5 linked regions of the Oryctolagus cuniculus genome follow. The protein of the gene in region 2 purifies or fractionates together with the protein of the main gene of each other region. This does not show direct contact. Links are inferred from orthologs where the notes say so. Each region holds a gene or a part of one and is shown on either strand. Other genes may lie near its edges.

Region 1 (4,893 bases), on a different chromosome or scaffold from region 2:
AAAAGGGAGCTAAAATCACTGGCTGCAGTCAGGATTGTCAAGTTTCCTGTTTTATTATTATTATTATTAAATATAAATATAACAGACAAAAGCTCCAGCTGGAAATTCACACAATTCAGAAACGTGTTGAAAAAAATCACAATCTTTAAGATTTCCAAGTAAACGTTCCCAACTCCAGTAGGAAAACTATGGAGCGGCTAATTAACAAGTGAAAATAATTAGCCATTCAAATTCTGTTGGAAATGTTTGAATCTGTATAAAAGCTTCCTCCTATATAGGGACTGGAGTATCTGAGGCCCCAAGCTAGCTAGCTAGATCATGGAGAAAGAATTCTTTTGACTAGAGTTTACTCCGAAACCAACTTTCCCAACTCCTTTCTTTTCCCCAAAAAGTGTCCAATCACACTTCAAGAAGGGGAAGTACTGAGGCAGCGTGTTTTACATGGTACTGCACCCTTTAAGAAACGTAACCAGGAAACTTTTCACACACACGTAAACTGATGTATTTGTAGACATATTTATCTGTGTTGAATAAGATACACTGTGAGAAAGTGTATTTTGGTTCAAAGGAGAAGCTGAAATAACTGTAGTGCTATCATAAACCCATTAGAGAACTAGCATAATTTAAAAGGTCAGTATATGTTTTAACAACTTTGATATTTTTTGTTATTTGGGCTTAATTTTACATTCTTTTCCTTTCTTCTTTTGGTTTTGCATCTCTGAGGGCACTTTTTACTTGTAAGCTGTGTTTGAGACTATACAGAATATGCTAATACAACAATATAAATATAAATAACCTATAAGCACTATCATCTGTACACATATGGACAGACTCCAGCCTCAGACGACTGATGTCGTACTTTCAGGATTCACCCGCATGAGTCTTGATGCGTTCCTCAGGTCTTGGAGTTGCTTGGCAGGTTTCCCCACACCTTCTTCAAACCTTTTTTCCACCACCGGGAGCACCGTTTCATATAGGAAGGACGCATTCTGTCGGATAAAAGCCTTCTTCTCTGGATCCTGCTCGCACCGAAGGCTATAATCCACATGCTGGACGGCAACCAGAATGATTTCCACCAGGCTCTCCAACAGTACCATGTGCAACTCTGGGAAATACAGCTTTAAGGCCTCTTCCAAAAACGCCATGGTCTGTTTGGTGAAAGCGACCACTGTGTAACTTAGGTTCACCCAGCAGTCATCCCCGGTATACTGCTCAAAGTTACTCACCCCGCAACTTCTCATCTCTTCTTTGAGCTTGCCCAGGGCCTCTGGAGTCATCAAGTTCATCCTCCTCCACATCTCCTCCGAGTTGCGATGTTTGGTGGCTTCAATGATGATTTCTTTGTAACTGTGCAAGGCCCCCTGGATGTCTTTCACCAGAAGGGCGTGGATGATGAAGGTGAGGTCTAGTCCAATATCTCCCAGCTGCTGGCAGTGCTCCTTAGCCACCTTGACGCACTCTGCTGCCGTGGACAGGCTCTCCTTGCTATCAAACACCTGCTTGCTGAAAGCATCTACAAACATGCCCATGGCTGATCTCGCCCAGACCACAAAGGCAGAGTAGCAGCCACTGTCGGTGCCGGCGAAATCTGTCTCAAATTCTCTGGCAGTCTCGAGAAGACACGTAAAGAAGACATGGCACAGCTTATGAATATAGAGTAAAGTGGCACCTTCAATGCGAAGCTGACGGATGGCCGTGTGCACAGCTGCCGCTCTGTTTCTCAAAAACAGCTCGCAAGCCTTTGTGCACTGGCCAAGCCGGATTAGCTGAGAAACCGCCCTGCGAGTAGCCTTGGGCCCACCTCGCAAGGAACGACCTGGGGACAGTTCAAAAACCAGCACCTCCGTGAGCTGCCGGACACGCTCATCCACCTTGGCCCTGAGTTCTTTTACAGGAGGTGGGCTGGGCTTGTCTTCTAGGTAATGATTCAATTTATCTAGCAGGTCAACGGCCCCCTCAAAGTCCCTCTGAGCAATGCACACATCCAGGTCTTCAGGTAACTCCTGGATCCACTCCATCGATAGGTCCACCTTCTCTTCCTCCACCTCGGGGACAGCTGGCTCTTCGTCTTCATCATCCTCAAACGGGTTCGTGGCCTTGGAGGTCACTTGGGGAGGCCCTCTAGAGGCCGCTGCTTCCTCCTGTTCCCTTCGTCTTTTTTCACTGAGGGCCCTCTTGGTTTCTTCCAGCACCTCCAGCCACTCTCGTTTTATTTTGGCATTTTCTGCCTGAAAAATGCGACTCTCGGGGAACATCAGCAGCTTGAACATGTCCTTCATGGGTGGGTTGTCCTTGACATTGACCACGGCCAGGCCATCTAGGGGATAGAGAGCATTGTAGCGATACATCCCCCGCCGCTGGGGCAGCCAGGTGGCCACCAGCAAACAGTCGTTCATGAGAAAGCCGTGCACCCGCTGCAGCTGGGCCATGTGATCCGCTTCGTATTCCACCAGGTCCCCGTTGTACACCAGGTACTGCCCCGGGGTCTCCAGCAGGTGCCTGCAGCCTTCCACCTTTTCAAGCAGGGTGGTGAGAGTGCGCTGCTTTCCTTCCTCGCCCGGGCCGGAACTGTCGCGCGAGGCGCCCCCGGGGCTGGGAAAAAAGCCGGCCTGGCCTCGGAGGTGGTCTCGGCCCCCAGCGCCACCTGCCCCCTCCTCCCCGCCCGAGGCAGCGCCGGCCCCCGCGGCGGCGGCGGCGGCCGGCAGCAAGGTGAGCGGGATGCTCTCCAGGCTGCTCTTCTGTTCCGTCAGGAGATGGCTGAGCTGGTACATCTCGCTCTCCAGGTAGGAGATCTCGCGGGCCGTCTCTATGAACTGCCGGTAGTTCTGGTAGACGTTGCGTTTCAGGTTTTGCGCTGTCTCCTCCGCCAAAGCCTGGATGCGCTGCCGGTGCTCCTGGAGGTCCCGGTCCCCGTCCGACTGCTGCGAGAGCTGCTTCACGTACAGCCGTGCCTCAAAGCTCCCTGATTCTAGCTGCCGCCGCAGGCGGCTCGCTCCACTGTCCGACATCGCCATCGCCATTTCCGTCTGGGTCTCAGGCAGTCGCTGTCACTGTCGCCACGGCTGTCGAGACCCACCCAACTCCAGCCGAGCTCCAGGGCTTAGGAAGCAAGATGCGAGCAAGACGAGTACGCCTGCGCCCGGGTCTGAGCTGCTCACACTGCGCCTGCGCAAGCGGCTGAGCGCAGACCGTACGACTGCGCAGGATTGCCCGCGAACTAGAGCGCACGCGCAGGAGGAGTTATTGCGGAAGCGGGGAGAGGGCGAGAGGGCGAGGCTTAAGTACTGCGCATGAGCAGAGCGTGACGTTTGGGTTTGAAGTTCCTGGTGAAGCGTAGACGCGTTAACTAGCTTCCTGTAACCGTCCTCGGGCCGAGCCCGGGGTTCTGCTCCAGTTTCGAGGTGTCACGGCTAGTTTCTTGTTTAAGCCCTAGAATCTTGCCGTCGGAGTTCGGAGCAAACTCGGTTCTGGTTCCTGTTCTCAGTTCCGTTTTCCCCGAGTTCTCGCGAGATTGGCAGAGCGACCCCGAGAGCAGCCCGAGAACCGGTATCCTAGGAGCTTGAAGCCTCTGAAACGTTTCTGCGGCCTGAGTCGGGAGTCAGCCTAACGCCAGTGAGCCCCGACTGGGATCCTGGCAGTGATGGATGAGGACCTGGTTTTGGCACTTCAGCTTCAGGAGGAGTGGAACTTGCAGGTTGCGGAGCGCGATGGCGCCCAGGAGCCCCTGTCGCTGGTAGACGCGTCCTGGGAGTTGGTGGACCCCACGCCGGATTTGCAGGCCCTGTTTGTGCAGTTCAACGACCGGTTCTTCTGGGGCCAGCTGGAGGCCGTGGAGGTGAAGTGGAGCTTGCGCATGACCCTGTGAGTCCCGAGCCCCGCGGGGGGAACCGAGGCGGAGGGGGCCGCACTTCTTGCCTGCCAGTCCCAGGGGAGTTAAACCAGAGCGTTTGGCTTTGGACGCTTGATGTGTTTCTCTCTTCTTATCCAGTTCAAACAGCTAAGAAAGCTATGTAGCTCACGCCACTGTAGTTGGAATTAGAAAGAACATAATGAGGGGGAAAAAGACCAAAAGAAGAAGAAGAAAAAAAAAAAGACAACTCGCCCCACTGTAAAGTCACACGTTTCTAACCTTCCTGTGCTAGTGCTCTAGAAAACAAGAGGGACAAGCACTCAGATCTTTCCAGAAAGGCAGCTGAGGACGCAGAAAAACTGCCGAAGGCTGCGTGATGGCCTAGTTAACAAACCACCACTTGGTGTAGTGAGCCAGTGTTTTGGAATGGGGAGGGAGTTGAGGTCTCCATATTTCTCGACTCGGGAGCTCTTTGGTGATGCTTCTAAAAGGATCCCCTCTCTACACATGAAGTTTGAGAGCTGCTGATTTGAGTTGATAAGCTGCACATTATCAGAGTTAAGTTTCAGTTACCACTTTGCCATGCCTCTTTTTCTGACTGAGAAAGACAGAGATTTTCCATTTGCTGGTTGTCTTCCTAAATATCCACAACAGGGGGTGGAGTGAGGTTGGGGGTGGGGACGGGGTAGGCCAGATTGAATGCAAGAGCTAGGAACTCCATCTTGGTCTCCAACACAGGTGACAGAAACTCAAGTAGTGGGGCCATCATCTGCTGTCTCCCAGGGGCATTAGCAGGCAGCTGGTCACTGAAGCAGGGCTGAACCTGCCGTGTCACAGTGCCTGCCCCCCACGGTTGTTTTTGATTTGATACAAAACAACCTACAGTAGGACAGATTAAGGTGTGATACAAAATCGTGTTTAAAGTACAAATCTCCTTCATATATGCTGCTGGACATCTGCTTGTTAACCACCACAAACTGATGATAGCTTGTGGGGGGAAGAGGCTTAGAGTAGAACAGGATTGTCCTGGGTGAGCTCTTGCA
Region 2 (4,965 bases):
CCTTCTGCCCCTCCTTCGCCTATCTGGAATTGTTCAAGCATGAGTAATGACATAGAATGAGGACAGCCGGAGACTCTGTAGAAACAGACAGGTTTAGCAACTTGCTTGCTTCCTGCAAATCAGGACTTGTAATGCTTTTTGTTCACAATTTTTTTTTAAGGTTTATTTTTACTTATTTGAGAGACAAAGTTACAGAGAGAGAGAGAGAGAGAGATCGATCTTCCATTGGCTGGTTCACTCCCCAAGTGACTGCAACAGCCAGGGCTGTGCCAAACCGAAGCCAAGAGTTAGGCAGTTTTTCCAAGTCTCCCACGTCAGGGTGCAGGGCTGCTTTCCAAGGTACAATTAGCAAGGAGGTGGATCAGAAGTGGAGCAGCTGGAATTTGAATCCAAGCAGTGTCATAACTGTGCTGAATGCTTGCTGCAACAATTAGTGTTTATTTTTTTTTTTAATAGAAAAATCCATACAAAAAAGGGAAATAATTCCCAAAGGGCAAACAATACATGATTACAAACTACCTTCCTTCTACTTCAGGCCCTTTCTTTACAAAACTTCTGGCTGATGCCAGTATTAAGTTTTTAAAATATTCTTTCAGAAGTAATTCTATCTATGTAATATTTTATGTACATGTAAATTTGCATGTGAATATTCCTTCCTTTACAAAAGGAAATGGGAACATAGTCTCTGTATTGTTTCATGCCTTGCTTTTTTTCCACTCAACAATAAAATTTGGAGACAGTTTTATATCCAAATATAAAGTATTTTGTCTTTGTTTTTAATGATTGCATAATAATCCATACTATTGCTGTAGCACAAATTATTTAGTCTCAACTTCCAATTTGGTTCTTGTGATATGCTTTTTTTAAAGATTTATTTATTTTTATTTGAAAGGCAGAGTTAGAGAGAGGAGAGACAGAGAGATCTTCCATCCACTGGTTCACACCCCAAATGGCTGCAACAGTTGGGGCTGGGCCAGGCCAAAGCTAGGAGCCAGGAGCTTGATCAGGCTCTCCACGTGGGTGCAGGGGCTCAAACACTTGGGCCATCCTCAGCTGCTTTCACAGGCGCATTAGCAGGGAGCTGGATGTGAAGTGGAGCAGCCGGATTGGAACCGGTGCCTATATTGGATGCTGGCGCTGCAGACTGTTGCTTAATGTGCTGTGCCACAGTGCTGGCCCAGCTCCCCCCCCCCCCCTTAAAATTTATTTTATTTCTTTGAAAGGCAGTGTTACCGAGAGAGAAGAGGGGGATAGATAGGTGGATAGATGGATAGATAGATAGATCGTCCATCTGCTGGCCCACTCCCCAAACGGCTGTAATGGCTAGACCTGAGCCAGGCCAGATTCCATCTGTGTCTCCCATGTAGGTGGCAGGGACACAAGCACTTGGGCCATCTTGGGCTGCCTTCCCAGGCGCTTTAGCAGGGATCTGGATCGAAGTGGAGCAGCCCGGACTCCCACCGTGCCCATATGGGACTCCGGCACTGCAGATCAGGACTATAACGAGCTGCGCCACAGCGTGGGCCCCTACTACTACTTCTTAATACCTCAGCGCACATGACATCCTAGCTGCCACACTTTCCAGGTTCTTAGCTTACAAACCTTCACAAGCAGAAGTGATCCTGGTGCTTCTGAGCTGGCTTGCAGCCACAGGCTGCCTTGTATCACAGTTTTGATACCCGTCTTGATTGTGAGATCGCCATCAGCACACAGCTTATTAGTACTTTCCCGCTGTTCATGCTTTGTACTTTGTGACAAAGATGTTCAACAAGAATTTGTAGGGTTAGTGACATTCACGGACTTCATTGTCATTGTATACGCAGTGTCATTGACTGTTCCTGACTTATGTTGGGCTTTCAACACATTTGTGGATTCAGTGAGTAAATGAACAGATCCCCGCCTATAGTCGCTTGGAGAACTTCAAATCCCAGCAGACACTGCGCGGAACGTCGGCGGACGCGGTGATGCAAGGGGGCGTGGTGAGCCTGAGGGAGGGGTCGTCCTGCGGGCAGCTGGAGGCTGGGGCGGCTGGGATCCTGGGGTGAGGGAGTGAAGGAGCGAAAGGTGAGCCCGACTGAAGGAGCGGACGCGTTGCCCGGCGCCCCCAGTCTATGGAGCGGGGTAAGATGGCGGAGGCGGAGAGCCTGGAGACAGCGGCAGAGCACGAGCGGATCCTGCGGGAGATCGAGAGCACCGACACGGCCTGCATCGGGCCCACGCTCAGGTACCCCCGGTACCGGGGCCACCGACGGGTGGGCACGGGCGGAACAGGGGGGCAGGCTCCTTTGGGTCCGGTGCCGGCCGCCCGCTGGGCCAGCGCAGCCCCTCCCATTGGAGACACCCGCTAGTGACCTGTAGGCTGGCGAGGCGGGGCTCCCTCCGCAGCCCCGACGTGGGGTCCCTTCCCGATCGGTCGTCCGCGCCCCACAGTCCCGCGACTCCGGAGGCGCCTCTTGCCTGCCTCGCGGCCGGGGCAGGCTTCGCGCTCCCTCCGAGGCTAGCCCAGCGCCGGGGAACGAGAGAGCGCCCGGCAGATGGTGGCTCCTAGCAGCTCTTCCCCCATGGGAACATCACCCGGCTCCCTCCGACTCAGACCTCGTCCCGCCCCAGACACAAGTCTGCTCTTCAGACAAAACAGTTTCCCTGCATGGTGTGTTGTTTGGAATTAAGCTGCTGCCTCAGAATCACAGCTGCGTCCGAGAAACCAGTGTCCGAAAATCCTAGGCCCTGCAAGGAAGTTTCCCTCGACCCCGCGCCGCTCGCTGGAGAGCTGATGCGCCTTTAACCCGGGTGGGAGGCCGGTCCCTCCTCCAGGTGCAGCCGGGCGGTGTTCTCGAAGAAGGAAAACCTGCCCCGCCCCGCAGTTACAATGCTCTGCACGCACACCTCCATTTTACTTGGAGATGTCACAACAAACCCCTCACTTATTTAAGCAAATTTGGGTAGCACTTGTTACGCACATCGTGACACATTGTATTAAGTGATTTACACATTATGACTTCCTGAAACCACAAAACAATCTTATTAGGCAGGTGCTGTTATTATTTTCATTTTACAAATGAGGCTCCGAGAGGTGAAGTGACTTGCCCAAGGTCACAGAGAAAGTAAAGTGGGGTTCCGGGGGTTCCTACTCAGACGGTCTGCACCAGACTCTGTCATTGCGCTATTCTGTCTCAAATAGGGATTACTCGCCTACTTCCTGTTGGTAATTGCTTACCAAGCCTAATTTTGAACTACTTTCTTTCTCCCTTTAGTTTACTGGTGCCCTAGAATTAACTCATCTTTCCCTGTGGCACACTCTGATCTCCTTGCAGCCAGTAGACAGAATTATCTTACCCTCCTGGTAGAGTCTTGAGTCACTGCTCCTCAGTCTAGAGTCCTTACTCACTGCCTGCTTTCTCATGGGCAGAGCTGCCTCCGGAGGGAGTGACTGAAGGGAAGGCAGGCTGGAGGCTTCACTCTATCTCCACCTGCCCGGCTTCCTTCTCCAGGGCATATTGTTAGCTCTGTTCTCCCAGGGCCATCCCCAGACATAACTGCCCTCAGTAGTTTGCCTTTTGTTCCTTTTAGAGTTGCCTCTTCTCTCTGTCCCTGTTCCCATTGTGTTATGATTTGGATCGTCATGCTCCTGTCCTATCCCATTTCTTAAGCTCTTAGGGTCACTGATTCTGATTTCAAGTCCACTTTTATAAAAGCTGAGGGCTACTTACTAATATTCTACTAAGTGCATTATTAATGGTTATTAATATTTGGTTTTCATAAAATGTTACTAGAGCTACTGAGGATGCTATTTCAATATTACATGTATGTATATTTTAAATATGTATTTATTTGACAGATAGAAAGAAAGAGATATAAAGAGGTCTTTCATCCCCTGGGGTTCACTCCCCAAATGGCTGCAACAGAGGCTTGGAACTCCTTCTGGGACTTCCACTTGGGTGGCAGGGGCCCAAGCACTTGGGCCATCTGCCACCACTGTACCAGATGCGTTAACAAGGAGCTGGTTTGGAAGCAGAGCAGCCACTGCACCACAGTGCTGGCTCTTCTGTGTTATATTAAAAAATTTTGGGGTGGGCATTTGGTGCAGTGGTTAAGACATACTTGGGAAGTACTTGGGATACCTGCACGCTAAGTCATGGTACCTAAGTTTGAGTCCTGACTCTGCTCCTGATTCTAGCTTCCTGTTGCACATCTTGGGAGGCAGCAGGTGATGGCTCAAGTTTTGGGTCCCTGCCATCCACATAGGAGACCTGATTGTGTTCCAGGCTCCTGGCTTCGGGCCGTTTGGCCACTTGGGGTGTGAACCAGTGGATGGGAGATCTCTGTCTGTCTCTCTCTGCATTTCAAACCAAATAAAATAAATAAATCTTAAAAGAAAAAATGAATTTGGCTGCTAGCTGCAGTTGGCATCCTGGCCATATTCCCACTGGAGCTGTTGAGATTACTAGAGGTTTTAGGAAGGGTTCTTTATCAGAGCACCATCAATGTTGTTTTGAGTTGCTTGTGGTTTTCAATTGCTGTTCTTGATTTGTGTGATAAATGATTTAGTGTTATCAATTTAATTTGTTGCGACTTATTATATTAACTCTCAACTGAAAAGTAAATACTTCTGAATTTTGGCCTTTAGTTCTCCAGTTTCTTTGCTTTCAGAATATATGCATTATGGGTCAAATGTAAGTTACCCGTTTCCTCTAAAATTTGCTTCTTTGTTAACCCTGAGTTCCTTTTCACTGGAAAATGGGGTTTTGAGGAGTTAGATGGATTAAGGGATGTTTTGCCCTAAGGGAATATTGAATAAAAAAGTTTGAGAACTTGCATTATTCTACAGTTTAGTTGCTTTTCTTGACTCTCTCTCTTTTTTTTTTTTGGACAGGCAAAGTTAGACAGTGAGAGAGAGAGAGACAGAGAAAAACAGAGAAAAACACCCCCCAAATGGCCACTACGGCCAGCGCGCTGCACCGATCC
Region 3 (4,972 bases), on a different chromosome or scaffold from region 2:
CATGGAAACAATTCAAATGTCCATCAGCCAATAAACAGGTGAGTGAAATATGTTGTATTCATACCATGGATGATTTGGCTGTAAAAAGGAATGAAGTGCTGATATATGCTGACATTCATGGATCTTGAAAACATTATGGTAAGTGAAAGAAGCCAAACACAAAAGACTACATAATGCATGACTCCAACCATAGGCAATGTCCAGACTGGGAAAACTGATAGCAAGAGCAGTGACTGTGGGGGCCAGAGGAGAAGGCAGAATGCAGGACTGTCTGTTAATGGGTATGGTGTTGCTTTCCGGGTGATAAGATGTCCTTGAATTAGACAGCAGTGATCGTTCAAAGAGTACAATCTTGTGAATACACTAAAGGACACAGAATTATATATTTGAAAAGGCTGAATTTTATGATATGCAAATTATCTCAATAAAGCTGTAACAAAAGTAGGCTGCCACTTATTTCCCTTTTCTCACATAAATCGGTGTCTTTTTCAAATGTCAATTTAAACTATTTTTTAAAAACGTCTCAATTTCATTTTTCAAGCATAAGGGACATGTTTGTATGGCTATATATCAGTATTTTCCAATGCAAATGTGAGCTTGCCTCGGACATTAATTTCTGCTAGTAACACCATTTTTTATGGGAAAATGAAGAAACTGTGAGTTTTATATATACGATTTATAACGCCTTTTTATAACACGACCCCAGAATGCCATCTTTGCATTTCTGTTCCTCTTTCAGCTCATCTCAGCCTCAGGTCTCCTCACTCTCCCACCCTCCCTCCCATTATTCTTGTCTATCTGGCCCCCAAGCCAGGCTACAGGCAATGTTCATCTCCCAGTACCCACACTATCCTCTTTCTTATTTTACCCTCTTGGTAGACTGGCTATCCTATTTTATCAAGAAACCTTGAAAAACCTACATGTTTTTCCTCTACTTCTCTTGAGCTATAAGATTCTATGTTTCAAAGCCATATACCCACGTGCATTGCATTCGTTTCTAACAGATCCAGCTAAAACTGGACTTTGAAGGCAGCTCAGCAATTCTTTAATACATTTATTGCATCACTACTGTTTACAAATCCTTATTATCGTCTTTCAGCCTGCAACCGTATTGTCAGCCTCCTCCCTCTCTGCATAGGACTTCACTGCCTACTCTGCAGAAAAGAGAAGCCACGAGGTACAATTCTCCCCAATTCTTCCTCTTCCATCTCTCTAACCATTCACCCATCCCACTCAAAACGCAGCATCCATGCTGCCGATCCCTTCGTACATTCCAAGGCCTAGACACTGTTAAAGGGGCTACTCCACTCTCCGCCCCGGTCTACTTTTCTATCTCTGGGCTTCCGTTCACGCAATTTCCTTTTCCTGGAATTCCCTCTCCCCAGAGATTGCAACTCACTCCTTAGGATCCTGCTAGAGTGTCACCTCTTCCGGGAAGCAGTGTTTCCCGAAGCATACTTCCCTTTCTAGGTCTCCAACATCCCCCCACCCTGCACACAGCGCGCTTCGGATCGTCTTTTCTGACTGCTGGTATCAGCCTCTCCCATCAGAAACAGTTTCTGGTTGGCAAGGACCGTTTCTCATTCACCTTTGTATTCCTAGAACTTTTGGCAAAAGGCACCCAGCAGGCATTTAATAACTAACACGAGAGCACCAAATAACCAGCAGCTTTAGCTTCCTCAAGACCCCCCCGCCTTCGTTCAGCAAATGTCGTGTTCAGAACGTCCTGAGTCCTTCCTCCATGGTCAACAAGAAACCTGCTGCCACATTCTGGGGCTTCCCCCCATCTACAGGTACATTCCTTCCTTTATGTCCCCGCCATGCACACAGGAACCCAGGCCCACACCCACTTCTACCTGTTCAACAGCACAGCATCTGGGTATCTCTTTGCAAGCACCCACAACCCTGAATAACAACCATATAACTGGGGGGGGGGGTAGATCTCATCACACCACACCCTTGTTCAGCATTTTCCTAATACAAAGCATCCACTTGGAAGCACTCTGTTCATTTTGGGCTCTAAACCTCTGCTTCGGCACTTCCCCATGCGGGAAACATCATCTCCTCCCTACCCAAACCCTAACACCACCACACGGTTTACATGACGCTCATTCAATGGTGATTTGAATCCGGACTCATCTCGCCGTGCACCTGCTGCACGGACTAAACCACTGAGCATTGGCGGGGATCAGCAGCTCCTGGCTCTCCAACCCTCTTAGAGAGAGACACGCTCAACTAGATGTGAGTACTAAGCAGGTACTTAACACCTCTCGAGGGAACCTGAAGAGGAAAAACCGGTCCAAAGAACCACTCACAGCGGCCAAAGTCACCCTCCCGGCAACAGCTAGGGCTGAGCACCGGGCACATGAGGCGGCTGGACATCACTCGGCACTTACTGATGCCTACCCAGGGCCAGGCTGTTCTGGGCCCCAGCGGCGGCTCCCGTCACGCAGGTGCGCGCTCAGGGGGCCAGTCCTTGGAGCGCTTTTCTGTAAGCCACTCAACAACAGGTCCGCCCTGTCCCGGCCCGGGGACCCGCGGCTGCTACGCTCCAGAGGCAGCCCGCCACTGCCTAACTGCGTGTCGCTCTTGTTTTTTAAACCCGCTGGGACCCTCTCGGCGCGCTGGCCGACAGCCGGTGACCCTAAAGGCGCGTGTGGGTTGGGACGTTTCGGGCACGGAGCACGGTCATCCACAGGAGACCGTGCACGGAAACAGGGGAATGCATTTAACAGACTCGGGGTGGGGGGAGTGGACTTGGCCAGCGGAAGGGCGGTGTCACGCCCTCCTCCGCGGGGCGACGCCGTGGACAGCGCGAGCACCGCCGGTCTGCACAAACCTGGCCGCGAGGGGCGGGGCCGCAGCGGGACGAGCGAGCGCCGCCCTCCCCGCTCCGCAGCCTGCGGGACCCGGGGAGCGGGGCCTGACCGCCGAGTGGGCGGCGGCTGCCCGTCCGCTCTCGGGTCCGGCGCCGCCGCCGCCGCCGCCGCCGGGCCTGCTGGGCAGCCGCGGCCAGAGGCTTACCGCAAGGCCGGACCGAGCCCAGCTGTGCCGCGGCGGGTCCTCCCAGACGGAAGCGGGGTGCGGCCGCTGCGACCACCGCTCCCAGGCTGTGCCCCTCAATTAACCGGTGAACGGGAAGCGGCCGCTCCTCACCGCTTCCCATATCCGGGCACGTGACCCGTTCTGCGCCGGAAGTGGATGTCTAGAGGCGGAAAGAGAAGTGGCGGGATCCAAGGAGCGACCGGGGAACGCCGGCCGGGGGCGGGGCCTCGCCGGAGGGGCTGGGCGGGGCCTCGCCGGAGGGCGGGGCGGGGCGGGGCTTCTGCCCCACGGGGACTGACATCTGCTGCCCTGCGTTTAACAACCCTACACGAGCTGTTTATTCTGATATTCACAACAATTCGCTTAAAAAGCAACCCGACTGGTTTCTTTATATGTAAAACTGTTGACTGTAGACCCTTGCTGCTTACATCTTGGAGATTTAAATGAGTTAAATCATAAACTCGGGGTTGGGATCCAGACACAGTACTTCGCACTTGATCTTTGCCAAAAGGCAATAATACTTTGAATATCTTCCTAGATGTGTCTAATACGCCACTGACGTTAAGAACCATCATGCTTGTGACCTCGATACTCCAAGTGTGGTCCACGGAGCAGCTACCAGGGCATCGTTCGGGGGCTCATTTCAGATCTACTCGAGCAGAATCTGCAGTTGGGATGATGCTTACGACATATAAGACTGAGGGTCAGGGATGATGCTAGTGTTGCTGGCTGGGAATCAGGAAATTGAATTATTCCATTTTTTGATTCATTTATTCTTTTGAAAGAGTTATGGGGACAGAGAGACAGAGACAGAGAGTGAGGTCTTCCAACCGTTGATCAGTCTCCAAATGGCTGCAATGTCCAGCTTGGCCGATCCAAAGCCAGGAGCCAGGAGCTTCATTTGGGTCTCCCTTGGGGGTTCAGGGGCCCAAGGACTTGGGCCATCTTCCACTGCTTTCCCAGGCCATTAGCAGGGAGCTGGATGGGAAGTGGAGCAGCTGGGACTTGAAGCTGCATGCCGGCACCGTAGACGGCAGCTTTACCAGCTACACCACAGCACCGGCCCCTAGTCCATATTCTTGACTCCAGGTGCAGAGGTGGTTTAGACATGAATCCTGTTCTGAAAGAGTTCACAATGTGGCAGGACCAGACAAAGAGGAATGTGAACAAGGGAGTCACTCCCTGTGCTGGGGCTGGAGTCGCCGAGGAAGCCAGGACAGAGATGGGCTAAATGTATTTCAGTATTTGTTTACAATGTACCTGAATGCTTTTCTCTTTGATCAGATTGATTCCCTCTTAAGAGTAGGATCGAGGCCGATCTAAGAAGTCCTTCCTGCTTGGTACAGAACACCATTGTGAACATTCCATAGGATAATTACATGTGATTTTTGGTCCTGTTCATTATCTTCTGTTTACCTGTGTCCCCAAAGTTAGCAAATAACTGAATTTCATAGGTCTAGACTCCCTCCCCAAGTTCCAGACTTATTTCCACTGTCTCGCCACCGTATTTCCACATGGATGTCTCAAAGGCACCTCACACTGACTCACATATGCCCCTGAATTTAATTCTCCTCTCTCTCTCGCCCTCATGGATCCCCCCCTACACACACACACACACAAAGTGAGGCTAATCTGCAGTAGTTTATTTGGGAATTTGACCCCAGAGAATTAAAGTAAGGAAGAAGGAGAGGAAATGAAACAAGAGAAGTGGGAGAGGAAACCCAAGCAAGTGGCATGGCGTTGGATATGGCCCTTTGCAAATGTTTTCTCAATCTCTCAAGGGCCTTCTAAGAAGTGTTATGAAATGATTCTCAGAACTGTCCACTGAGAGCAAGCATGGAGGAAGCACTTATGTGTTGGCTCCTGTTCCCTTTTGATCATGTGCTCCTCGACGTTAAGTACTCCACAATTCCAACTTGTGTGGTTG
Region 4 (4,949 bases), on a different chromosome or scaffold from region 2:
TGACACTGTCAGGCAGGAACCCAAGTTCAAAATAAATGACTGTCCCGCCCAGAGTGCAGCAGGTGCGGCCTCCTACCTTCAGCCTGGCCTCCACGGAGGCCTTCTTCCGAGCCTCTCTTCGGCGGTACTGCTGCACTTTGTCCAGCTGGTCTGGGCGCTGAAGCATGCCAGCTACCCGCTGCACGGCTGTTGCCACAGCCTCGCGGTCGGTCTCCTTCATGGTCCACGAGAGGGCACAGTCCCCACGCCTGTCATTCCAGGGGCACTGACTGTACAAGAGAGACAGGGTTAGGAAGGTGGAGACACGGGCACCGAGCACGTCCCCAGCCAGCTGGCCATGTGGGCACTGAGCACGCCCCCAGCCAGCTGACCACGTGGGCACAGAGCATGTCCCCCAGCCAGCTGACCACGTGGGCACAGAGCACGTCCCTACCCAGCTGACCATGTGGGCACTGAGCACTCCCCCTATAGCCAGCTGACCACAAGGGCACTGAACACCCCCAGTCGACTGACCATCTGGGGCCATATGAGAGGTGTCTGAGACCGCAAGTAAACTAGAAAGAAAGCGTAACCAGGCTCATGAACCCCCTGACTCAAATTCAGGGATTTTTTTTTTTAAGATTTATTTATTTATTTCAAAGTCTGAGCTACACAGAGAGAGAAGAGGCAGAGAGAGAGAGAGAGAGAGAGAGAGAGAGAGGTCTTCCATCTGATGGTTCACTCCCCAGATGGCTGCAACGGCTGGATCTGAAGCCAGGAGCCAGGAGCTTCTTCCGGGTCTCCCACATGGATGTACGGGCCCAAGGACTTGAGCCATCCTCCACTGCTTTCCCAGGCCACAGCAGAGAGCTAGATCGGAAGAGGAGCAGCCGGGACTAGAACCGGCACCAATATGGGATGCTGGTGCTTTAGGCCAGGGTGTTAACCCACTGCACCACAGCGCCGGCCCCTCAGGGATGGTTTTACATTACATGTAGAAACCCCTGTTGGGGCCGGCACTGTGGCGTAGCGCATAAAGCTGCTGCCTGCAATGCCGGCATCCCACATGGGCGCCGGCTCCAGTCCCGGCTGCTCCACTTCTGATCCAGCTTCCGCTATGGCCTGGGAAAGCAGTAGAAGATGGTCCAAGTCCTTGGGCCCCTGCACCCATGTGGGAGACCCGGAAGAAGCTCCTGGCTCCTGGCTTCAAATTAGCACAGCTCCGACTGTAGTGGCCGGTTGAGGAGTGAACCAGCGGTGGAAGACCCCTCTCTCTCTCTGCCTCTCCTCTCAATGTGTAACTCTTTCAAATAAATAAATAAATCTTAATAAAAAAGAAAAAGGAAGAAAGAAACCCCTGTGCACGAGAAAGCAAGCGCGCGCACCAGTCCCTGTGCGTGAACCTGCACACGTCAGCCCGAGGCCCTGCGGCGCCCCTGACAGGAGCCTTCTCGCCAGCCCAGGGCCGCGCACAACTGCCCCAGAGGGCGAGCACGCACCCAGGGCCGCCCTGCAAATCACCACGCACAACTCCATCCCCTGCATTTCACAGCCCTGACAGAGGGTGGGGAGGGCAGGGGACGCGGCACAGGCGCTGACCCAGCTCCCCCGCCAGCGGCCCCAGCTCCAGCACTACCCCCACCACGGCCACCTCTGCCGGGCTTTCTCATTCCCATTCCCGGCTCTCAGGAGAACGTGCGGGTCTCTTCTCTTTCAGAGGCGGCACTGCAACCACTACCCTCTTCTCCTCCCCTGGTTACGAAATCAAACCACATACAACAACGCACGGGAGATATGGACACGCCAGAGGCAGCCGCGTCCCCCCGCCCCCCCAGGCGCCCTCTCCTGCCGGCTCGGTGGCCCCCGCTGCTCCCTGCATTGCTTCAGTACCCAGAGTGCGGCTTTGCACACGACCACGTTCCCGCTGACACGGGACCCTCATCTTGATGACCACAGCCAAGACGCTCGCAGCGTGCCCTGAGCCCGGCCGCACTGGCCCTCAGCACCCTTCCTGGGTGCAGGGCAGCGGAGGGCTCGCCTCTGAACAGACCGGGAAAGCAGGAGGCTCACCAGGGACCGCACAGGGTGCGCCAGTCTCCCCAGGCCAGACGGGAACTCCTAGGGCCCCAGAGACCCTGAGGAACCTCCACAGCCCTCCCACACCGGCATCGGGGAGGCACCGATGGGCTGAGGAGTCAGATGGGCAGACACCACGGGGTGACACCTGTGCTCGGGAGCGACCCGCGGGGGTGACTCCCGGGCCAGGGGGCGACGCCCTGGGGGTGACACCGTGCCCGGGGACGACCCGCGGGGGTGACACTCAGGCCGGGGGATGACCCGCAGGGGTGACACTCAGGCAGGGGGACGATCCGTGGGGGTGACGGCCAGGCCAGGGGACGACCCGCGGGGGTGACACTCAGGCCGGGGTATGACCCGCGGGGGGGACACCCGGGCCGGGGGACGACCCGCAGGGGTGACAGGCAGGGGGACGATCCGTGGGGGTAACACTCAGGCAGGGGGACGATCCGTGGGGGTGACGGCCAGGCCAGGGGACGACCCGCGGGGGGGACACCCGGGCCGGGGGACGACCCGCAGGGGTGACAGGCAGGGGGACGATCCGTGGGGGTAACACTCAGGCAGGGGGACGATCCGTGGGGGTGACGGCCAGGCCAGGGGACGACCCGCGGGGGTGACACTCAGGCCGGGGGATGACCCGCGGGGGGGACACCCGGGCCTGGGGACGATCCGTGGGGGTGACACCCGCACTGGTGGACGACCCGCGGGGCTAACACCCGGCCCGGGGACACCCGCGGGGGTGACGGCCGGGCCGGGGGACGACCCGCGCGGGGTGACACCCGGCTGAAGAGACTCCCGAGCCGAGAGGACACAGCGAGGCGGACACCGCACCGCGGCCCAGACGGCCTCGGGGAGCCCCGCCCTCGGGCCCCGCCCCGGCCGCCGCTCATCCCGCGGACGCCCAAGGACAACGGCGGCAGGGTCGGCGGCCACCACCCAGCGGACCGCAAGCCTTCGGACCCCACAACGCCTCACCGCCCGCGCCGCCGCTGCCGCTGCAGCCGCCGCCCGCTCCCGGGCCCGACAGGAAGTGGACGCTGAAGGGCACTTCCGCTTCCGGCGACGCAGGTGGCGGGCGGGGCCTGGCCAGTGGGCGGGCCTTCGGGACGGCAAGACCGTCCGGTGCTCCGGGGGTCGCTGTCCACGGAGCCCGGTGACGGCTGGGGGCTTCCTGCCTGTCCCGGCTCCGCCGCCCCTTCCCTGACGTGCGCCGGACGCCGCCCGCCCGGACCCCTCAGGATTCACAGCCGCAGGCGCCGACCCCCGGCCCGCCCCATCGCGGTGTGTGTGCGCGAGTGCGGGTGTGCGGGTGTGCGGGCGTGCGCGTGTGTGCGCGCCTGTGCGTGAACGCGTGTGCATGTGTGTATTTGTGTGGGCGCGTATGCCCGTGTATGTATGTGTGTGTGCGTGAACGTGTGTGAACGCGTGTGCATGTGTGTATTTGTGTGGGTGTGCACATGTGTGCACATGCGTGTGGACATGTGTGTTCGCGCGTGTGCTTTCGTGTCACAGAAGTTCTGCTGTGGGCACCTCGGTGTCAAGGCCATAACGGCCTAGAATACCGGACATGGGAGGGGGCTCACAGGAGCCCTCCACCCTCTGTGCTGGGCCCTGGGGGGGTCACGGCAGCAGCGTGCATGGGCGTTCTTGGGAGCGTTTCCCTTCATGCTGCCGCTGCCACTTCTTCCTGGCAAAGCAAGTGTGGGCACTGAATGAAACACAACTGAGGTGTTTACAGCCTTCCGTTCCCTGAGCTCTGACCCAGTGAGGCGGGCACAGTCAGGGACAGTGCAGTGAGTCCCAGCTGGCTTCACTCCATGTGTCAGATGCCCTCAGGATGGACAGGTGGCACCCAGGGGTGGTGCCCTCAGGATGGACAGATGGTGCCCGGGGTCAGATGCCCACAGGATGGTGCCCGGGGTCAGATGCCCTCAGGATGGACAGGTGGCACCCAGGGGTGGTGCCCTCAGGATGGACAGGTGAAACCCAGGGGTGTTGCCCTCAGGATGGACAGGTGAAACCCAGGGTCAGATACCCGCAGGATGGTGCCCGGGGTCAGATGCCCTTAGGATGGTGCCCGGGGTCAGATGCCCTCAGGATGGACAGGTGGTGCCCGGGGTCAGATGCCCTCAGGGTGGACAGGTGGTTCTCGGGGTCAGATGCCCTCAGGATGGACAGGATGGTGCCCGGGGTCAGATGCCCTCAGGATGGTGCCCGGGGTCAGATGCCCTCAGGATGGACAGGATGGTGCCCGGGGTCAGATGCCCTCAGGATGGACAGGTGGTGCCCGGGGTCAGATGCCCTCAGGGTGGACAGGTGGTGCCCGGGGTCAGATGCCCTCAGGATGGACAGGATGGTGCCCGGGGTCAGATGCCCTCAGGGTGGACAGGTGGTGCCCGGGGTCAGATGCCCTCAGGGTGGACAGGTGGTGCCCGGGGTCAGATGCCCTCAGGATGGACAGGTGGTGCCCGGGGTCAGATGCCCTCAGGATGGACAGGATGGTGCCCGGGGTCAGATGCCCTCAGGGTGGACAGGTGGTGCCCGGGGTCAGATGCCCTCAGGATGGACAGGTGGTGCCCGGGGTCAGATGCCCTCAGGATGGACAGGTGGTGCCTGGGGTCAGATGCCCTCAGGATGGACAGGATGGTGCCCGGGGTCAGATGCCCTCAGGATGGACAGATGGCATCAGGCTGTGAGTCACATGGTCACAGGGGACATCCTTGGCAGTGACCTCTGCTCTCATACAGAACAGGCTCGGGCTGGGGCTCAGGCTGATGGAGGCCCAGCAGGCTGGGCAGTCAGGCTCTGTCTGTCCCATAAGGCTGCTGCTCACTGGGAGAGCCCCTAAGAGAGACAGGTGTGGGGCAGCTGCGGGCACCAGCGGAGCCCTCACT
Region 5 (4,919 bases), on a different chromosome or scaffold from region 2:
CTGTGGCCGTGGGCGGCGGCCGTGGGCGGCGGCCGTGGGCGGCGGCCGTGGGCGGCGGCCGTGGGCTGTGGCCGTGGGCGGTGGCCGTGGGCTGTGGCCGTGGGCGGTGGCCGTGGGCGGCGGCCGTGGGCTGTGGCCGTGGGCTGTGGCCGTGGGCAGCTGCGTGGCCAGTGCTGGTTTGTGAGCCCTGGCTGCTCTACTTCCAACCCAGCTCCTTGCTAAGGCGCCTGGGAGAGCAGCAGGTGACAGCGGAGTGTTGGGGTCCCTGCCACCCACGTGGGAGACCCACACGGAATCCGGGCTCCTGTTTCAGTCTGGTCCAGCCCCGGCTGCCGTAGGCATGAGGGGAGGAAACGGGTGGACGGGAGATTTCTCCCTCTCTCTGTCGTCCCCTGCATCGTCATCTCCCATCGCAGGGTGAGCATAAGCAGGAGGCCGGGGCTCCACGCCCCGAGCGTGCACTTAGAAAGGTTACGATGGCAAACCTTGTATGATGCATGTTTACCACGATAAGCCGCAAATCAGCTCTAGAAACCAAATGCTGCATTTACACCTTCTATGCGGTTTACACGTACACCTACGCCATCTGAAGCAGAGGTCTTGCCTTCGACGCATGCGTATCAGGTTGCAGTCCGCCCTGTGTTCTCCACAGCCCTCTCCATGCTGACCCAGCGTGCCCCGGGCGATGGGGACCGGGCTGCGCGTCCCCTCACCTCTCCCACGGCCCCTCGGCCCCTTACCACTTTGTTGAGCTCCGGGCTGTCTGGGCTGTTGTCCTGGAAGTACTCCACAGCCTTCTGGATCTTGGCCATGCTCCCCAGGTACTCCTCCAGCCTCCCTGTGGGGCTGCGGCGGAAAGGACCCGGCTCAGCGGGAGGGGGAGGGGGAGCACGCGGTGCGGGGCTGCACGGTCAGGCATTCCACGGCCCCTTCCGCGGCCCAGGGCACTGGGCCAGGACCCGAGGGCCGGGCTCACCCCTCCCTGATGATCCTCTCGGTGTCGCTGGCCACGTGGTAGTAGCTGATGACGTGGTCCAGGCAGGACAGCGTCTTCTCCACGTTCTCCTGCAGCCGCTGCAGGTTCTCCGTCTGCTTGTGCACGGGGATGATGGAGTTCTCCAGCCTCATGAGACGGCTCTCGAAGGACGACAGGATGGACACCTGCGGGGAGGCCCCGGCGTTCAGCGCCCTCAGCACCGCGGTCTCTGCGCTTCCACACGGGAAGCTCCACGCGGGAAGGGACAGGATGGACCCGTCCCCCGCTGCATCCCTCATGTGCCTGACACAGAGCAGGTGGTCCAAAACGTGCCAGCTGAAATTTGGGGGCTGGCACTCTGGGCTAAGCCTCCTCCTGTGGCACTGGCATCCCATATGGGCGCCAGTTTGTCTCCTGGCTGTTCCTCTGCTACGGCCTGGGAAAGCAGTGAAGACGGCCCAAGTGCGTGGGCCCCTGCATGGCAGACCCAGAAGCAGCTCCCGGCTCCCGGCTTCACATGGGTGCAGCTCCGGCTGTCGCGGCCATCTGGGGAGTGAACCAGTGGATGGAAGACCTCTCTCACAGACCTCCCCCATCTCCCTGTAGGAGGCGCAGGAGAAACCCAAAAAGAGGAAAAAGCAAAAGCCCCAGGAGGCTCCTCAGGAGAACAGGATAGAGCAGCCGCCTGCCTCTTCCTCCAAACCTAAGAAAAGGAAATCTTTTCCCAAGGAGGAGCTGGTCTGTCTCTCCCTCTCTCTGTCTGTACGCTACCTCTCAAACAAACAAATCTTTAAAAAGAAAAAAGGAAAAAAGGTCGGCGCCGCGGCTCACTAGGCTAATCCTCCGCCTGCGGCACTGGCACACCGGGTTCTAGTCCCTGTCGGGGCGCAGGATTCTGTCCTGGTTGCTCCTCTTCCAGGCCAGCTCTCTGCTGTGGCCAGGGAGTGCAGTGGAGGATGGCCCAAGTGCTTGGGCCCTGCACCCCATGGGAGACCAGGAGAAGCACCTGGCTCCTGGCTTCAGATCAGCGCGGTGTGCCAGCCGTGGTAGCCATTTGGAGGGTGAACCAACGGGAGGAAGACCTTTCTCTCTGTCTCTCTCTCTCACTGTCTAACTCTGCCTGTCAAAAAGAAAAAAAAAAAAAAGATTTGAAGGCAAAATAAGCATCAAATTAATTCTTCCTAGAGTAATCACCCCAGACTTCTACCCTGAGAAGCCAAGTCTCGATTTCTGTTCTCAGCGAAGCCTTCTCAGGCGGAAGGTAAAGCCGCTTCACACAGAGCAGCCTCAACGGCACTGCCGGTGCCCCCGAAACCCTCTCCCACCATCAGCACTGAGACTTCACTACAGGGTGACAAATAAAAGTCCAAACCCATCATTCACTCAATTCGCGCTCGTCCAGTCTCCGCTAGGAATGCAGACTCATTTACTGAGCGCCTGCTGTATACCAGGCCGTGGGTTCACAGCAATAGCTCTCACGGCCTCCAGACTGGGAGGTTGACCTTGACGCTGCGGCTCCGAGGCACCTGTCGGGAGCCACAGAAGGGGGACTGGGGGCACGGACCAGATCTCGGCTCTGAATTCAGAGCTCCTCCTACCCCAGAGCCCCTGGGACCGCCCATCGCCGAAAGGACCTGCACTGGACGGTACCCGGACCACTACATGGACAGACGGAGCGCGGCAGGGCCGCAGCGTCCCCAGCCAGGGGCCGGAACACGGGGAGGGCGCACGGTGGCAGCTGTCCACTGTGGCTGGGGAGCCCCGCCTCGCCCCCGGCGCCCCCGGCCCTGGGCTCTCCCCCGGGGCCCGCGAGCCCCTCCTCACCATGTTCTTGGTGAGCTGGTCGCTCTTCTCCAGGCTGTCTCGGATGAAAGACAGCGTCTCCTCCTCCTGCGGGGAGCGGAGAGCGGGCCATTAGCAGAAGCAGAGGGCTGACCCAGCCCACCGCTTCCCGGCCCCCCGGCCAAGCCCCCAGCCCCTCTCCCACCACTGCCCCGGCCCGGCTCCCGGCCCCTGCCCCTCACCGCGTGCCCAGCCCACCTGCTTCAGCTTGTCTTCGATCTCCCGCCGCCGGGCGGACGCCTCTTGCGGGGGAATCATCGCTCCAAACCGTGCGGCCTCCACTCCTCAGCGTCTTCCCGCAGCGGGCCCGCTCGGCTCCCGTCCCTGTCACACCCACTTCCGCCCTTAGCCCCGCCCCGGGCGCGTGTGGAGCCATGTTGGGAGTGGCAGGCAGAAATGCGCCTGCGCAGAGCTCAGGCATAGGCATGGGTGGGCGGCCATTTTAAGTGTGGCAGGAGAGGAAGGCAGACCCGGAGCGCCCTGTTTTCTGTCGGTGCTGACTCGCGCTTTGGGTGCAGGCGCCAAAGTTCTCCTTCCCCTTCCTTTGCCTGCCCACCCTGCCTGCGGCCCCATTCCCTGGGGAAGCACATGGCGGTACTGCTTCCTGCTTTGTTAGTCGCCCTGGGTCCAGGTGTCCGGGCACGGGCAGGCATAGAATGCGGCAGGTGCTGTGGGGTAGCAAGGTTTGGGGCTGTCAGGTGGTTGGGCACAAGTGACGGGGGTGGGGAGGGTTGGAGGCACAAAACCGTCATCCGAGGGTCACCCGGCTTTCAGTTTAACTTGTGTTTAAAGTACTCTGATACAGTGGCGTCCAGGCAAACCATTTACAAACCTAAGTCTAGTTTGTAGCCACATGCCCAGACAGCCCAAAGGGCTGCAGCTCCCAGGTGTCAATCACAAATGCCAATCATGGTCAGAGCCGCACTAGTCAACGCCCCTCAGTCTTTAGGGATAAAAGCCCCAAGCCAGGAGGAAGGGTTGCCAAGTGCTCTCTGGACTGGCGGAAGGTACCTCGTGGAACCTCCACCTGGGTCTCCCCCGTGGGCGCAGGGGCCCACGCACTTGGGCCCCATCCGGCTTTCCCGGGCGCCTTAGCAGGGAGCTGGATCTGCAGGGGAGCAGCCGGGACTGGAACCCGCGTCCCTACAGGAAGCCGGTGTCACAGGCGATGAGCAGGCAGCTGGGCCCGCTGTGCCACGGCTGGGATAGGAAGCTGATGTCGCAATGCACAGAGCAAGGCGCTGGGCAGCCATGGGCCTGATTCCTGGGCCACTGAGGAGGAGGGGCGAAGGGTCTCGCGGAGGAAGCTGGAACGAGATGGGTGTGCAGTGCCTGTGTGGGCTCCTGGTTGGGTGGTGGTAGCCCGCCTTCCCCTGGTTAGCCAGGCTGCGGTGTTCTCTGTGTAATGTTATGGTGGCCCCGCGGGCTTCAGTCTGGGGGCTACAGGCAGGTGTGGTTACTTTCTAGCCGGACCTGGCGTTCCCTGAAGAGAAGCCCCTCCAGTCAATGCCCACCACCACGCCGGCAATGACCTCTTGCACCCAGTGATTGGAGCCTGGTGGGCCGGCTCTCCCTCGCTCTTCGGGCATGGTTCACCTGCTAGCAAAAGGCAGGGGGGCCGGCGCTGCGGCTCACTAGGCTAATCCTCCACTTTGCGGCGCCAGCACACCGGGTTCTAGTCCCGGTCGGGGCGCCGGATTCTGTCCCGGTTGCCCCTCTTCCAGGCCAGCTCTCTGCTGTGGCCAGGGAGTGCAGTGGAGGATGGCCCAAGTGCTTGGGCCCTGCACCCCATGGGAGACCAGGAAAAGCACCTGGCTCCTGCCATTGGATCAGCGCGGTGCGCCGGCCGCGGCAGCCACTGGAGGGTGAACCAATGGCAAAGGAAGACCTTTCTCTCTGTCTCTCTCTCTCTCACTGTCCACTCTGCCTGTCAAAAAATAAAAAATAATAATATTAAAAAAAAAGGCAGGGGGGTACTTGCTAAGCTGCGGGAGGGCTGGGAGGCTGTCCTCACGGGGCCCAGCCCCTGTGTGCTGCATGTTCTCACCTGCCCTTCCAGTCCTAAGTGTAGCTTTGTAGCGCACTGCCAGTCACCGAGAGC

Evidence for each region.
Region 1: the proteins of EXOC6B (region 2) and EXOC8 purify together in Homo sapiens (affinity purification with mass spectrometry; 3 studies listed by BioGRID and IntAct, counting the BioPlex papers as one, with this or other methods). This does not show direct contact. The link is inferred for Oryctolagus cuniculus from reciprocal best matches to the Homo sapiens genes EXOC6B and EXOC8.
Region 3: the proteins of EXOC6B (region 2) and EXOC1 purify together in Homo sapiens (affinity purification with mass spectrometry; 3 studies listed by BioGRID and IntAct, counting the BioPlex papers as one, with this or other methods). This does not show direct contact. The link is inferred for Oryctolagus cuniculus from reciprocal best matches to the Homo sapiens genes EXOC6B and EXOC1.
Region 4: the proteins of EXOC6B (region 2) and EXOC3 purify together in Homo sapiens (affinity purification with mass spectrometry; 3 studies listed by BioGRID and IntAct, counting the BioPlex papers as one, with this or other methods). This does not show direct contact. The link is inferred for Oryctolagus cuniculus from reciprocal best matches to the Homo sapiens genes EXOC6B and EXOC3.
Region 5: the proteins of EXOC6B (region 2) and EXOC7 purify together in Homo sapiens (affinity purification with mass spectrometry; 3 studies listed by BioGRID and IntAct, with this or other methods). This does not show direct contact. The link is inferred for Oryctolagus cuniculus from reciprocal best matches to the Homo sapiens genes EXOC6B and EXOC7.

Annotation. Positions count from the first base shown.
Region 1 is NC_091444.1:50,852,507-50,857,399, forward strand, and holds the start of EXOC8 (exocyst complex component 8), read right to left. Parts: upstream 3,165-4,893; 5' UTR 3,021-3,164; coding exon 840-3,020; 3' UTR 1-839. Other genes in the region: DNA-dependent metalloprotease SPRTN, read left to right, coding at 3,641-3,861. UniProt on the Homo sapiens protein: Component of the exocyst complex involved in the docking of exocytic vesicles with fusion sites on the plasma membrane.
Region 2 is NC_091433.1:130,043,240-130,048,204, forward strand, and holds the start of EXOC6B (exocyst complex component 6B), read left to right. Parts: upstream 1-1,963; 5' UTR 1,964-2,111; coding exon 2,112-2,224; intron 2,225-4,965. UniProt on the Homo sapiens protein: Component of the exocyst complex involved in the docking of exocytic vesicles with fusion sites on the plasma membrane.
Region 3 is NC_091439.1:108,641,118-108,646,089, forward strand, and holds the start of EXOC1 (exocyst complex component 1), read right to left. Parts: upstream 3,165-4,972; 5' UTR 3,025-3,164; intron 2,875-3,024; exon of another isoform or gene 2,840-2,874; intron 1-2,839.
Region 4 is NC_091445.1:97,416,916-97,421,864, forward strand, and holds the start of EXOC3 (exocyst complex component 3), read right to left. Parts: upstream 3,165-4,949; 5' UTR 3,031-3,164; intron 270-3,030; 5' UTR 221-269; coding exon 77-220; intron 1-76. UniProt on the Homo sapiens protein: Component of the exocyst complex involved in the docking of exocytic vesicles with fusion sites on the plasma membrane.
Region 5 is NC_091448.1:4,590,573-4,595,491, reverse strand, and holds the start of EXOC7 (exocyst complex component 7), read right to left. Parts: upstream 3,165-4,919; 5' UTR 3,077-3,164; coding exon 3,017-3,076; intron 2,867-3,016; coding exon 2,801-2,866; intron 2,368-2,800; exon of another isoform or gene 2,349-2,367; intron 1,162-2,348; coding exon 977-1,161; intron 847-976; coding exon 741-846; intron 1-740. UniProt on the Homo sapiens protein: Component of the exocyst complex involved in the docking of exocytic vesicles with fusion sites on the plasma membrane.